Linked DNA regions of Astyanax mexicanus. The protein of the gene in region 1 interacts with the protein of each later gene in a biochemical or structural test. Links are inferred from orthologs where the notes say so. Each region holds a gene or a part of one and is shown on either strand. Other genes may lie near its edges.

The links.
Region 2: the proteins of smurf1 (region 1) and rho-related GTP-binding protein RhoB form a complex in vitro, tested with the Homo sapiens proteins (2 studies listed by BioGRID and IntAct, with this or other methods). The link is inferred for Astyanax mexicanus from reciprocal best matches to the Homo sapiens genes SMURF1 and RHOB.

What each region holds. Positions count from the first base shown.
Region 1 is NC_064410.1:54,769,733-54,777,334, forward strand, and holds the start of smurf1 (E3 ubiquitin-protein ligase SMURF1), read right to left. Parts: upstream 3,011-7,602; 5' UTR 2,798-3,010; coding exon 2,743-2,797; intron 1-2,742. UniProt on the Homo sapiens protein: E3 ubiquitin-protein ligase that acts as a negative regulator of BMP signaling pathway. Mediates ubiquitination and degradation of SMAD1 and SMAD5, 2 receptor-regulated SMADs specific for the BMP pathway.
Region 2 is NC_064421.1:13,264,852-13,272,358, reverse strand, and holds rho-related GTP-binding protein RhoB, read right to left. Parts: upstream 3,004-7,507; 5' UTR 2,745-3,003; coding exon 2,154-2,744; 3' UTR 273-2,153; downstream 1-272. Other genes in the region: zmp:0000001267 (b(0,+)-type amino acid transporter 1), read right to left, coding at 6,509-6,739, 7,352-7,439. UniProt on the Homo sapiens protein: Mediates apoptosis in neoplastically transformed cells after DNA damage. Not essential for development but affects cell adhesion and growth factor signaling in transformed cells. Plays a negative role in tumorigenesis as deletion causes tumor formation.

The sequences.
Region 1 (7,602 bases):
ATCTAACATTTGTTTCGTCAATTTAAAATTACGTTTAACTGGATATTTGGGCTTTGTTGAGTGTCTATAACTTCATGTGACTAACAGAAAGCTTCCAATGAAATTGAATGTTCAGGTTTACCCTACAGTGATTTAGTAAGATTCACTGCTATGCTCTCATACAGCAGAACTCCCATTCATGACTAAATTCTATGAAATGATGTAAGCAAAGACAGTACAGCTCAGACTTAGACTTGAGAAAAGTGTTATAAGCGGTCTAGAGAACAGCAGTCACAGCTTCCACTGTTCTTAATCTGGCTAAACCCCAAGAGATATCCTGATCTTTAGGGTTTATGACATTTTAGACCCTGATTACTTGATAAACGTAATGTTCAATTGGACACTGGAGTACATTGCTTTGTTGAGTGTCTGTAACTTTTAGCAACATAAACAGAAATTTTTTCATCATGAAATTTTATGTTTGGTTTAAACCTACTGGGCTATATAGGGCTAAACTCTCCTAAAATGTAGCTAATCCTATCACAACTAAAAAGTCAGTACAGCTCTAATGTGGCCCTAAAGAAAAGTGTTTTAGGCAATCTGGTAAAAGAACAGCAGCCTCACAGCTTGCACTTTTCTTAAAGTGGTGAAACCCTAGATAGCACTTTGTTATCCCCATCAAAACAAAAGGGAAAGAGAAATAAGGGGTTTTCCACTAGATCCATTACTTAAACATAATGCACGACTGGATTATAAAAAAGTCAGCATTGTCGAGTGTAACTTTCAGTTAGTCTTTTAACTGTAATCAAAGCTCATAAATGTGGCTGCATACTCAAAAGCAACCACAGACAGAGTCAGTAAAACCATTCCATCTTCACTAGATCAGTACAGATCAGTTTCCCAGAAAAGAATAAAGCAAAAGCCTACAATATTTTTTTCCTGTCAATGAAAAATCTCTATTTAAATGCTGTGCAGTCCAAGACTAGGCTTAATGCCTGTTTGGTAAACTGCCCCCGAAAATCTTCAAATTACTTTGTTTGTGTTCAATCTAACGCTCAAATTCTCAAAACATAAATGCCAAATTCTTGGAAAGATGGGAGCAAAGACAGTATGACTCTCTTGTGGCCTTGACAATAGTGCTATAAACAACCCAGAGAAGAGGAGACACCATTTCCACTGTTCTTAATCTGGCTAAACCCTAGACATCAGGCTCCTTAATGATTCTGACTTTTTTTTTTAAGTTGACTTCCTGGAGACACACTGCTTTACTGAGTGTCTGTAACTTTCAGCAACCTTAGTACAAACATGATAATGTCATTTTTAGGGGTGGAAGAAAACACTGGATCACAATACTTCTAGAATAGCCCTGGACAAATGTTGCATCATGTCTCTGCTAGAATTTTAATGTATTTAACATTTTTAGACCTTCCTAAAGCAAAAGGTAGAGGAATAAAGGATGTGCCTCTATATACATCACTTAAACAGGACTTAAACGGAGCACTTTGTTTTGCTGAATATTTGTAACTTTCAGCAACTTAAAAAAAAAAAAGCTGATAACAAAATGTTGGATGTTGCAGATCTTTTCTTTGTGCTTTCTTGAGTGAGGACCTAGAGCTTAGAGCAACTTTAATACAAAGCTCTTGCTTACTTGCAGAGTGCAATTTTACACTCACGTTTAAACCAACAGTAATATCACTATCTAGAAGCTGCTCTGCAAGCTGCTAAATTGCATGACTATTATCCATAACCAAGCTGAATAACTATAACTAACGGTTTTTAGTTAAACTAGAGAGAGAAATATAAATTAGAGACAAATACGTTTCTGAATCAGTTTGTCTGATTTTGCTATTTATATGTTTGAGTAAAATGAACATTGTTGTTTTACTCTTTAAACGACAGACAACATTTCTCCCAAATTCCAAATAAAAATATAATCATTTAGAGCATTTATTGGCAGAAACGCAAAGTAAACAAGTTATATATATTCATATTCATAAAGGTTTAGAAGCTCAGAAATTAATATTTGGTGGAATAACCCTGTTTTTTAGTCACAGTTTTCATGCCTCTTAGCATGTTCTCCTCCACCAGTCTTACACACTGCTTTTATCCACAAACCAAGCTGAATAACTGAAACAGCTAAGTTAACCTTGTTTAAAACTTAACACTCGACTAATATAGTTAACAAACTAACTACTTAAATCGGTGAGAAATCGCCGTAAGTACCAGGCAGCCAAACTCAGCTCATCTCAGCGGCTAGCTGATAAAAGAGCGACCGTTTTTCCAGACTGGGAGCAGCGAATTCAACCCTACTATACTGTTTAAGAGTTTAACGCGCTAAACAAATTAACTTACACATTATAAACCACATGATATAAATTAATATTAATCATATTATCGAATTAAATCACTCAGTAAGCCTGCAGACCGACCCCAACCATCTGATCTCCTTACCAACAGCCAGTTAACGTTAGCGAACCTAGCTAAGCTAACCGTAGCTATGCTAAGCTAGTTAGCTAACCTAACCTAACGCTCGCTCCCCGTCCGTCTGAAGCCGGGCTCAGCCTGCCCGCTAGCCCGCATTAGCCGCTATGTTAGCCGCTAGCCGGATATGTTAGGGATTCAGTTAGAGAGCCATTTAGGTTACTCAGCAGCCCACGAAGCACGACACGACCAACTGTAGCCTTTTTATACACAAACTGCCGTCAAATAAACCCCGTAGAGCCGAACCCCGCACACCCGCAGCTCCCCGCCGAAGCGCTTTACCTGTCAGTCTGATCTTAATGCTTGACCCGTTCCTCCGAGTCCCCGGGTTCGACATCCCTCCTCGAAAATATCGCCCAAACTTCCTCCAGCAGAGTCCCCAGGCGCTCACCCGAAGCCCAGCCCGCGGTTAAAGCCGCTCAATCCAGGAGTGCGGCGTTTGTTCGGGCGTTTCTCGGCGGAAAATTGATATTATTTCCGTCTAACGATTCCTCCCGTCGCCTCCAGATTTAACTACATACGCTAACATTTTCGAGCTCAACGGCGTCCTGACGTCACTCCACTACGGCGAGTACGTGCTCGCCCACAGGAAGCGCGTGGCCGCGCCGCTTCGGCTTTTCAGAGTAGGTAACTACAGTAGGGGAGCGTGCGTGTTTCTTACAATATTTTTTCTGATATACAGTTTTTCACCAAGAGTGGCAAAACGTTATCCAAAAGCAGTGTGTAAGACTGGTGGAGGAGAACATGCCAAGATTCATGAAAACTATTCCACCAAATATTGATTTCTGAGCTCTTAAAACTTTACGAACATGAATATGATTTTTTTCTTTGCATTATTTAAAGTCTGAAAGTTCTGCCTCTTTTTTTTGCTATTTCAGCCATTTTTCAGTTTGTGCAAATATATGCACTAAATTACAGTATTTTTTATTTGGAAATGTTGTCAGTAGTGTATAGAATAAAACAACAATGTTCATTTTACTCAAAGATATATCTATAAATAGCAAAATTAGAGAAATTGATTCAGAAACTGAAGTGGTTGTTCCAGAGCTGTATAATGGAAATTTCATACTCACAAAATTAAACGGTCTCTCTCACCAAACAAATAGTTTTTTTTTTTAAGAAAAAAAAAAATCACATTATCAGAATCTTATATCTTGACTGGTAACAATTGATTTAAAATAACGTGACAATGTGGTAGGTAAACAGGCCATGCTGTGATGGACTGGCACCCTGTACAGGGATGTCCCTGCTGCACTGTGCCCAATCAGTCCAGGTAAGCTGGATAATATAATTCCATTACAAATCCTTTAAGGTGCCCTGTTTTTCTGCCAGGCTTTTGTTTTTGTGATTTAATTTACACTCCTTTCCATAGGGAAAATAAATACATTGTACCTTCTTAACTCGATTAAGGATTACAGTTTGTACCTTAAGGACATTGTTGTACCTCTGAAAGAACATTTACATATATAGTTTGTACCTTGGCTTGAACGGCCCTGTTTTCTGCTTGCCTACACCTGCCATTAGTAAATGTAATGGGATGATATAATGTTAATCTGTGTTCAGATCAAAGAGGAAAATATCAGAGACCTTTAGATTCAATCAGTTTTTAACAACTAAATTCAAGATAATGAATGTACGCTTAGAGAAATGAGCTGAAGGGAAGGGAATTACTGAATGATCTGGAAGCACAAGAGCTCTGTAATGCTGTTCCCAAGAAGCAAATTCACAGACGTTGTTGGGTCAGCTGAGGACACTCACACTGCCTCAGACACCTCAGACACAAGCCACCAAATGTAGTGAGGATTTTACTACGGAGCACAGTTCCTACAGAGTCAGGATTCCTGCTTTTGTTTATAAAATGTACCTGAAATAATAAAAAAATAATCATTTTAAAGGACCATTAAGGATGATATTTTCTGTAGTAATGCATGTAGTAACTCATATGATTAGAATGATCAGTACCATCTTTTATTAAGGAAACATGTTAAGTTTATGTATTGTTAGGAAAGCCACCGTACCTGCCCACCACCACCCCCCGTCCCATTTCCACACACTGGGTTGTCAGCTATAGAACACAATAGCAGGCAAACTGTGGACTGCAGGCTTGTAAATGGGTGTTCTGTGTGCCGGGCTATTTTTCTCTCCTAAACAGGTAATCACTGAGCTTCTGTAAGGTTCGCTAACCATAGCTGGATAATTTTTCATCACTACTAGCATAGTGGGAACGGGCATTTTTAATCATTTTCACATTCAAGGGTTATGAAGGCAGGGATTATTTGAGATAGCTAGCTAAATTAATCTGGACTATTTGTTGTGCAATTTACATGCTTCTTATTATTCCATTTTCTTAGCACTAAATCTGTTCATTTAGAAGAAATAGGGTGCAAAAATACATGAATATCTACAGTATTTTTGCACAATAGATACACAGTTCAGTTCATTTCAGTGCTGCACAAATAGACCTGCACTTGTCTATTTTTATTTTTTTCATCCCTCCTTATTCTAATTCTGCTGCTATTCATTTTTCCCACACAAGCCATATGGTTGTAGTGTCCCTGCAGCCACCAAACCTCTTGAACTCCAACAAAGCAGGTAACCAAGCTCTAATCCACAGCCATAGTGACCCAAACTAACCTGCACTCATCTGTTTGTCCTTTTCTCATCCTCAATCCATTTTAGCTGCATAATCATCCTGTGTTTTCTTTATAAAATGAGTATTTCTAGTCTTTTTAAAGAAAAACTGCAAAATAATTAGTCATATATTGTACAATACATTGGAAATTTAAGTATTGTGACAAGCCTAGAGCACAATTACTGTACTATTGTACCACCAAACACTGAAACACCCTGTTGCTGTTCTGTAGAGTGGCACTGAATGTTAGATCAGTATTAAACATGGGCTCTTCTGGGTGCTTAACTCATCTTATCGTACAGTTTTGGCTGGGATGGAAATGTCTTGGCAGTGCGACTGTACACAGGGAAACACTCAGTGCCATGTTACTACACACTAAGTCTGCAGTGTGTGTGTGTTTGTGTGTGTGTGCTAAATGCTTAAACATTCACAGGAACCGGATTAGTGGGCCGCGGAACGCCAGTTCATCTGTAAGCTTTTAGGAACTTCTGTGATCGTAAGATTTGGATTAACAGATTGATTGCGACATTTAACCACTCAATGAAACTAAACAGGCGAACAGAAGCAGCAGTCATGGCCTGAGTCTGGGCTTATCAGTTTGCTTGGAGTTCACAGTGACTTGAGTTTGGTGTGTAAATGATGAACACATAAGTAGTTTGGTCTTATTTCCCATCAGCATAGAGTCAGTAACACTCAACACCTGAGCCATGAATAGGTAAGAGGTAGGGGGGTCAAGAAGTAAGCCCACCATGGGAATAAAAAGTGATATTTTTCATAGATTTTCCCTAATGTTCCATGCAAATGACTCATTAAGTATAAATTCAATTTTATTGAACAAACCTCCCAAGATAAGTGTATTTCTTTTTTTAAAATAAAAAAACTCAAAATGCACTGTTCCACATTATGAAACAGGCCACAGGTTTCAAGCAATATGGAAAAGAAAAAAGATCTCACTGCTGCTGAAAAGCGGTAAAAAGTGAGGTGCCTCGGACAAGGTATGAGGCCATTAGATATTTCATAAAAACTGAAGCATGATCACCGTACTTTGAAGAGATTTGTGGCTGATTTAGAGCACAGACAGCTAAAATGAGGAAGATTTCTGCCAGACAAATTAATCGGATTAAGAGAGCAGCTGCTAAAATGCAATTACAAACCAGCAAACAGCTATTTGAAGCTGCTGGTGCAGCTGGAGTCTCGTGAACCTCAAGGTGTAGGATCCTCCAGAGGCATGCAGTTGTGCATAAACCTACGATTCGGCCACCCCTAAGCAGAGCTCACAAGCAGGTGCAGTGGTTGCAGTGGGCCTGGACATACTAGAAGATTAATTTTCACAGATGAATGCCATGCAACCCTGGATGGTTCAGATGGATGGAGTCCTATTATCATTGGGAGGTTTGTTCAATAAAATTGGATTTATACTTAAGGAGTCATGACTTGAAAAAACACTGACCGTCGTTTGCATTTACCATTTAGGAAAATCTAAGAAAATCATCAGTTGCATAATAATTTGGAACTTGGTGTTTATGAAGAAATTATATCAGCGATTATATACTGATATTACATGACTTAAATACTATCCATCCACTATATCCAACACAAGGGTCAAATAAAGCAATTATACAAGCTGTGGTACTTGTAGCAGTAACATGTCCTAAGTACACTACTTAAATACTGAATATATAGATCAGAACAATCAAGTGTGATAATTTTATACTTGAATCAATACTTTTATATTGATAAAAACAATCAAATGTGCTGAATCAGTTTCTCTGATTTAGCTATTTATAGGTTTATGTTTGAGTAAAATGAACATTGTTGTTTTGTTCTAGAAACTACGGACAACATTTCTCCCAAATTCCAAATAAAACTATTATCATTTAGAGCATTTATTTGCAGAAAATGAGAAATGAGAAACAGCTGAAATAACAAAGAAAGATGCAGAGCTTTCAGACCTCAAATAATGCAAAGAAAACAAGTTCATATTGATAAAGTTTTAGGAGTTCAGAAATCAATATTTGGTGGAATAACTCTGGATTTAATTAACAGTTTTCATGTATCTCAGCATTTTCTCCTCCACCAGTCTTACACACTGCTTTTGAATAACTTTATGCCACTTCTGGTGCAAAAATTCAAGCAGTTCAGCTTGGTTTTGATGGCTTGTGGTCATCCATCTTTATCTTGATTATATTCTAGAGGTTTTCATTTTTGTAAAATCAAAGAAACTCATCATTTTAAGTGGTCTCTAATTTTTTTCCAGAGCTGTATAATGTGTATGTCTTAATATTTAGGACGATGTGACATTTAACATTTGTGTGTGTTTTAGCTACCAAAGGTTGAGCACGCTCATGTAAAACAATAAACTGTGGGGTTTTTGAGTTAGCAAATGTCAGTCAGATATAGTGGTTGTTTTATAGGTGTTTTTCTGTGCTACGGGTGGTGGCTGTCCAAATTGGTTTGTGGTTACTGTGGAGAGGCACTTACAGCAGTAAAATATGAGCTGGGGATGTTAA
Region 2 (7,507 bases), on another chromosome or scaffold:
TAATATATACAACACAACAAAATAAATTTACTTTAAAGAGTAGAAAAGATACTAGTGGAGATGAACAAAGCCTGCTGTTGTGCTGGAGGCAGTAGGACCATGAGGCAGCGGAGCTGAGTGTGAGCAGACCCCACCCGTACTGCCCTTTTCAATCCCTTTCATTATCTACTAGTGTAATACACATGAAACCACAGCTAAACCAGTACCAGAACCAGTGCAATATTGCTTAAAGGCACATATTTGACACTTGTACATAAACACAAGACACATACTTGTATTGCAATTGAATATTTATTTTATTTTTTCTGTTCATTGCTGGGTTACTGTAAACATGACAGCCAACGCCTCAGAGCTGACCCAGGTCAGTCTGAAGTTAATGCAGTGGTACCACAGGCTTAAAGACATATAAAAGTCCTAAAAACAACAAAACAGAAAATGTACAGAGCTTCAGAGCTGAACTTCATAGGCCGCCTCTGTAACAGAGGGTGTGCGTAGTGTGTCACGCTAACCCAGAGCTGAGCCAAAGCAGAAAAGGGCCCACACCCCAACCCAGCCAATCCCAGCCGAGCCCTATACACCCCAAATCAACAAAAGCAGCTCCCATAATCCCATCAGTGCAATCGTGACAAACTTCATTGTTGGTGCTCGAGCAGAGGGGCTGCGTACGAGTTTACCGAGCGCTAGGGTGGGGTAGCAGACTGCACGGGCACCCAGTGCAACAAGAATGGAAACAACAAACGGAGATTCAGACAATGCTGGGCTATTTAAGCATGCAGATTCACCAGCATGGGCCCACACTTTAACATTTCATGGTGTGGGCATGTATGTACGTATGTATGTGTGTTGTAAATGTGTGTGCATACAATGAATCGAGGTGACTTTTGCAACAGCACAATACACAGTCCCGGAACACACTGACTGACCACTTGCACCCATCCCCCACCCCTCCATCCCCCTTCTTAGTGCTGCATCAAGTCTCTCACTGTGCAACAAAAGCACAGCTGCCCTGCTCGCACTGCAGTCTCACCACAGCTGGCAGCTGACTAGAAAGCTAGCATTTTGTACAAGTCTCCTCCTGTTCTTTTTTTTTGAGGGTCATCCCAGTGTACATCCCAAAGACCACCTCAATGCAGTGGCAAGGCATATTCTTTTTCTTCTCATTTCTCTCATTTAAAAAAATCCCCAAAAAACAAAATACAGAGCCCTATGCATGTGTCATATAAACAAGGCAAGGCTGTATACAGTGTTAAGCCTATAAGTTACATTGTTCTGTACTTTGTTCTGTGTGGCAGCAGCAGCAGCAGATATTGTGCCCAAGCTACCCAACCACCCAGACCCACCCATGCATGCATTATCCAGAGCATGCTGTTGTTGTTGTTGGTGGTGGTGGTAGTAGTACTTGCAGTGTGAATAGTATAGTGCCTGTGTCTTTTTCGGCTGCCACACAGCACCAAAACAACAAAGCAAAAGAGAGAAAAAAAGAGAGCAAGATAGAGAGACACACAAACACAGAGAGAGATACAAAGTTGAGGGTTCACAAGCCCCCTACCATCCCCTCTCTCTCTCTCTCTCTCTCTCACTGTTCTGTGTCCATTCTTTTCCTTCTTTCTCTACTTTTTAGTGTTGGTGCAGGGAGGGCATCAAGGGACACTTCAAACCCCTCCCCCCTCATCTCTCCAAACACCCCCCCCACCCAACTTGTCCATGAGTAAAGAACTAGACTCCAGGCTGGGTCAACAAGTCAACTGGGTCCTTTTAGAAAGTTCTGTCCATGGGTTTGTCCATGTTGGCTCCACAAGGCATGGAGTCAGTCAGTGTCACTGATGGGACCAGGAGGAGTTTAAACATGGGAGTCAACATAGGCCCCACCTGGTTTGTACCTTGCACACACACACAAATATAGGGCCTAGATGGAACCCCTAGATGGGAAGCCCAACTAGTCGTTAGAACACAAGTACAAACCCACTCAGAGCCCATGCCCATTTAGAACCGACCTGGAACCCAACTGGAACTCAATTGGAACCCACCTAGACCATGTTCCACCTAAGTGAGCCCCACATTAGCATGTTTCGTTTCTTGTCTGGGGAACCATGTCCTCTTCTCGTAGGAGTTCGTACAGGAGCTCACATGATTTCACAGAAGTTTACATGAGTTCACAAGAGCTTGCAGCAGTTCGCGCAGCCACCAGCCGGCCTGGACCTCTTCTGGAGCGCAGCACGCGTGGCAGTCTCAAACACCTCCCGTACGCCGTCCTTGGTCTTAGCCGAGCACTCCAGGTAGTCGTAGGCACCGATGCGCACGGCCATGGCGCGGCCGTCCTCAGCGCGCACCGGCTCCTGCTTCATGCGCGCCAGCTCGCCGCGCACGCTCTCGTCGTTGCGCAGATCCTTCTTGTTGGCCACCAAGATGATGGGCACGTTGGGACAGAAGTGCTTGACCTCAGGCACCCACTTCTCCGGGATGTTCTCCAGAGAGTCCGGGCTGTCCACGGAGAAGCACATGAGGATCACGTCCGTGTCCGGATAGGAAAGGGGGCGCAGGCGGTCGTAGTCCTCCTGGCCGGCCGTGTCCCACAGCGCCAGCTCCACCTGCTTGCTGTCCACCTCGATGTCAGCCACGTAGTTCTCGAAGACGGTGGGCACGTAGACCTCAGGGAACTCATCCTTGCTGAAGACGATGAGCAGACACGTCTTACCGCACGCCCCGTCCCCCACCACCACCAGCTTCTTACGGATAGCAGCCATGTGCTCGGTGTGTCCTCGCTGCTTTTACGCACGGATTAAAACTCTGAAAATCCTTATTAAAACAGGATCAAATGAAATACACAGTTAGAAAAGTGTCCAGGCTGAGGCTGTGTTGCTTCTTCAGTATCTCCAGCTGAGACTGTGTAGCTTATTCAGGATCTCCAGCTTATAAAGTAGCTCCTCTCACTTCAGACACAGCAGCTCACCACCTCAGCCTCTCACTGTTCAGTTCTCAGGATTTCAGAGCACAGAGTTCCTTATAAAGCGCCTCGCCGCTTTCTTAATATAGCCCTCCAATGGCAGGCCGAGGGATTACCTCATGGTTTTTCTCTCCGGCTCTGATTGGCACCCTCGTGATCAGGGGTGTGACTGTTCTCGCTCACCACGAGGACCTGGGAAACGTTTTTTTTTTTTTTAAATAAATGAAAATACTTTGATTTTTCCCTAATTTTAATTTATATTGACACAAATCGCAGTATAACAAATGGGAAAAAACAAGTATAATCAAAAGTAAAAAAATACTCCTAATAAAGTAAACTATTATTGGTATTTAACAATAAGTCTATGCTGTGCTGATTTAGATGGCCACTTCAAATTAATTTAAAATTAAATTCTGATTATAAAGAAAATATTTATATATGAGTATATTTGTTAGGGTTCCTACATATAAGATATACTTTGAAGGAATTTAGTAACATCACAAATAAACAAAAAAAAACTGCATTTTTCAATTTACCTTTCTGAATATAATTTTTACCCAGAATTATAATACACTAATTTAAATAAATATGTAGCTCCAGATTTACTTACTAAAATAAATCTGTGAAATATTGTGTATAAATGATATACACAAGTACAAATAACATAATAGTTAAACTGGGATTGGAAGTTTACTTCTATCACATTTTATTTTTATACATATTATAATGCCCTTTTAGATCAGTGTAAATAAACATAAATACTTTATTATACATAACATATTCGTTAAACATAATAAGCAGCCAGCTACACAATATTACACATAATATAGCCACCTTTTATTATCATAGACTGTTTTCCACGCGTTTTCCGACAGACCCCGCCCTCCTGCGTTACGATTGGCTACAGGGGTCACATAAATGCGGATGTGGACGGATATGGAAGGCGCCAGCTGTGTTCGTGGGAATGCTGGGATGTGTAGTGTATGTATTAAGATTAAATGTTTTTTGTAGTCTAGTCGTTTTAAACCACAAAGTATCTATATTTAATAAAATAATAAGACTAAAATGTTTTATATGTAAAATAGAGATGTTTCATCCCATACTTTTTCCTGTTATCACACTATGTTTACCAGACTAGCTGTTATATACTAGAACACTACAAATATTACTGGCTTCTGTAAAATGTATTTTAATTTGATTATTTTAGACTAATTTTACACTGTTCTTGTCATAGTAGGGTTACTTTAGCGTAGCCATAAGGGCATTGCCCATTTCCCTTCCGAATGAATCAAAGCCATACAAAAGATATTGTCCTTTATTTTGGAATCTGGAACAACATGTATTTTCTCTGATATTATCCTGTATTTTTCTGCTTTTACAGTCAACCCTGTTGAAAAACCCACTGTAAACTGGTTTCAAATGGTTAGAGGATGGTCAAAAAGCTGTTCATCCAGGTGAAAACATTCCCTATACTGGTAAGTTAAATTTGCAGAGTATACATATAACCTGTGTCTGTAAAACCTATGCTAATGACCTTATTTTACACTTTAGTTTTGTTTTGTTATTAACTCATTAAGGTTACACTAAATTAGTTACAAAGACATTGCCCAGTTGTCTTCTTAAAAAGCTAAAAAACAAACACCACAACAGGTCAGCTTTTCCTCTACTATAAAAGTATTAGCTGTAAGACCACACCATTATTTTTGTTATCCTAAATCACAGATATTTACCCTGAATTGTATTGTATTGCCATGCTTTTATAGGCAAGTTTATGATCTAACCAAAATATATATTGCCTTCAAAGACACCATTGACTAGATCTTAATGTTTTAAAGAGATAAAGAGGGTTTTAATGAGATAATAACAAGCCATATCATGATATATTATTTTATCATATACGTCTTGCCCAAGAATACGGAATAAAAAAGTTAAACCTATATGTTGGAGTGTAATGTTTGTAATGATTTACCTCTGCCTTTTAAATAAATGCCTGTAAGCACACTAATAAGAGTTTTGACCATATGTTCACCCACTGCTAATCCCATATTTACTTACATTAAAATCATTAAGAGCATGAGCATTAAGTGTCTGCCTCCATCCACACTTCTAATTCCAAATGGCCCCTTAGAATGTCATGTAAATCAAATAATCAATAAATGAATCTATTATTCATTGTGTGTTGCATATTTAATGAGACTCAGATAAGAATCAGACCACTACTTAGTCTCAAGAGCAGATGACATGATTTTAAGTACAGCACTGTCTTTAAATGACACTGCAAAATGCTGCTCATAATCATTATTATCTCTGATAGTCATAAACTCTTAGATAACATTACATAACAAAAAAAATTGAGGGCCAAATGTGTGATAATGCAATAATGCAATCTTCCTCTTCTCCCAACACACCAGAATAAAAATGACAAGTTTATTAACAAGTCATTTCAGAGATGCAGGCACGTGTACAGCATGGGTGCCTCCACAACCAGGGCTGAGAAACATTGCTCAATACTAGTTACTGTAGATTTAAATGTATATGAAGGACACACAATAGAACAATGTAGAAGGTCAAAGATATGGAACAGACACCTTTTATATTTGTAAATCTGTGTTTCTTGCTTCTGAGCAACAAGTTATTTTTTATGATTAAATTTTTCAAATTATATCCAATTGTTTTCCATTTTTGGAAGGCCAATTAGCCAGTCTCATCACTAGTGCTGCCCCATTACCAGTGAGTCCCAAACACCAGGACATGGAAATTGAAGCAACCCAGCTCCGATACGTCAGCTACATCAGACACCTGTGCTAGCCAGCACCCCGCTGGACAATGATATGGGGACAGAGCACCATCTCCCCACCCAGAAAAAGCAGGGCCAGTTGTGCTCTTTGTCTCGGACTCCGGCTGCTGATGGCAAGCACCAGTTTTTTAGTATTTAGATGTTTAATATGTTTACATCCCAGCCATTCTTGATTTTAAGTGCTGGATAATGAGCACCATTGTTATTTTTAATATGTTTAAGTGAAAATGTGATTATTTAAAATGTGATTATTTAAGGAGACACACAAATGCAGACATCAAAAAACAGTTCAAATTTTATCAATAGAAAACAGAAAACATTGTGTAATCTGACATGTGTAGTTTCACTAGTGCCACAATGTTTCTACTGCTACAGTCGGTCAACAGTGCTACTCAACTAAATGACCCCAAAATGTTTCTAGATCAAGGTTCATTGCTATGAACTCAACTTCAATATATCTCCACCTTCTTGCAAAAACACTATATTTCCTAAATGGCAACTAAATGGTAGTTAAAGGACAAAACCTTCTTGAAATAAAAGTCAATGGAAAAAGATTTTATTCCAAGTTATTCCAAATTTTGGAGCATTTCAATTGGATTGCATTCATTATACAATTTTAATACAACATAAAGAACTACGTTCAGATTCATATTATGTAAACAAAATTAAAAACAGCAAAAATGGAGCTTTTTTTAACTGCTACAGTGTTCAGTGTTACTACAAAGTTGGGACAAGAAATGTCTCCCAAACCAGAAGGTCCTGGAACCTCACAGGTTTTTATCAGCTGGCGCCACCTCCAGGAAGAGCTGGAGGAAGACTGTGAGTTTGTTCAGGAATCCGGGACACAGTTTGTAGTGAATGAATGGAACATAAATCAGAACTCCGCTGAGGATGAAGAGGGTCACGTACAGGTACTCGATCTGAGGGTTGTCGATGATGGGAGCAAGAACGAGGAACACTGCTGCCAGCAGGACCAGGAAGGGGATAATAATGGGGACCTGAGATAGTTGTAAAAAGAGGCAGTTGGCTATTGCTTCTCTATTATCTGTTATTTGTTATAATATGTAATGTAATTATAGAGCGAAACAACTTTTATTACATCTTTGAGACCATATCTTTAAATCCATTTATATCTTCTCACTTTTTTGAGTATACAAGTGTAAAATACAAGTGTAAATTCACCCAAGATGTATTTATATATTATGCTGGATAATTATGTTGGAAAACTGGCAAACTTGTAAGACCTGATCTGATAACTTAAAGATATTGTGTTTTTTAATGTAAAAACTTACATTAAAAATAAAATAAAATCTGTACTTATATCTTGTAATGCAAGATGTTATTAAATAAAATCTGTACTTTTGTGTTTAATTTGAGAACTTATAAAATAAAATCTGTACTTGTATTTTCACTATTATAATTTGTAAACTAACATTTGTGTAGTTACATAGTGTACATAAAATCACAGTTTAAAATGCATGGAAATGCACCTGACTGCTAAGTGCAAAAAAGTGTGGTTAAAAATCTTTAAAAAACAGTCCAGATACTATTCACATGAAGTGACCCGGTCTAAACAGGCTTTTTGCTATATTTAAAATGATATCTCTTACCGTGTATGAACGAGGAAGATCACGTTTCTTGATTTTTAGGTAAAGAAGTCCTGATAATGTGACGCCATAGAAGAACCAGGCTGTGAAACTGGCGGAAAGATAAAGTGGGTTTAGAACAGCAAGTTCCAACTATTTTAAAGGACATACAGGATTATA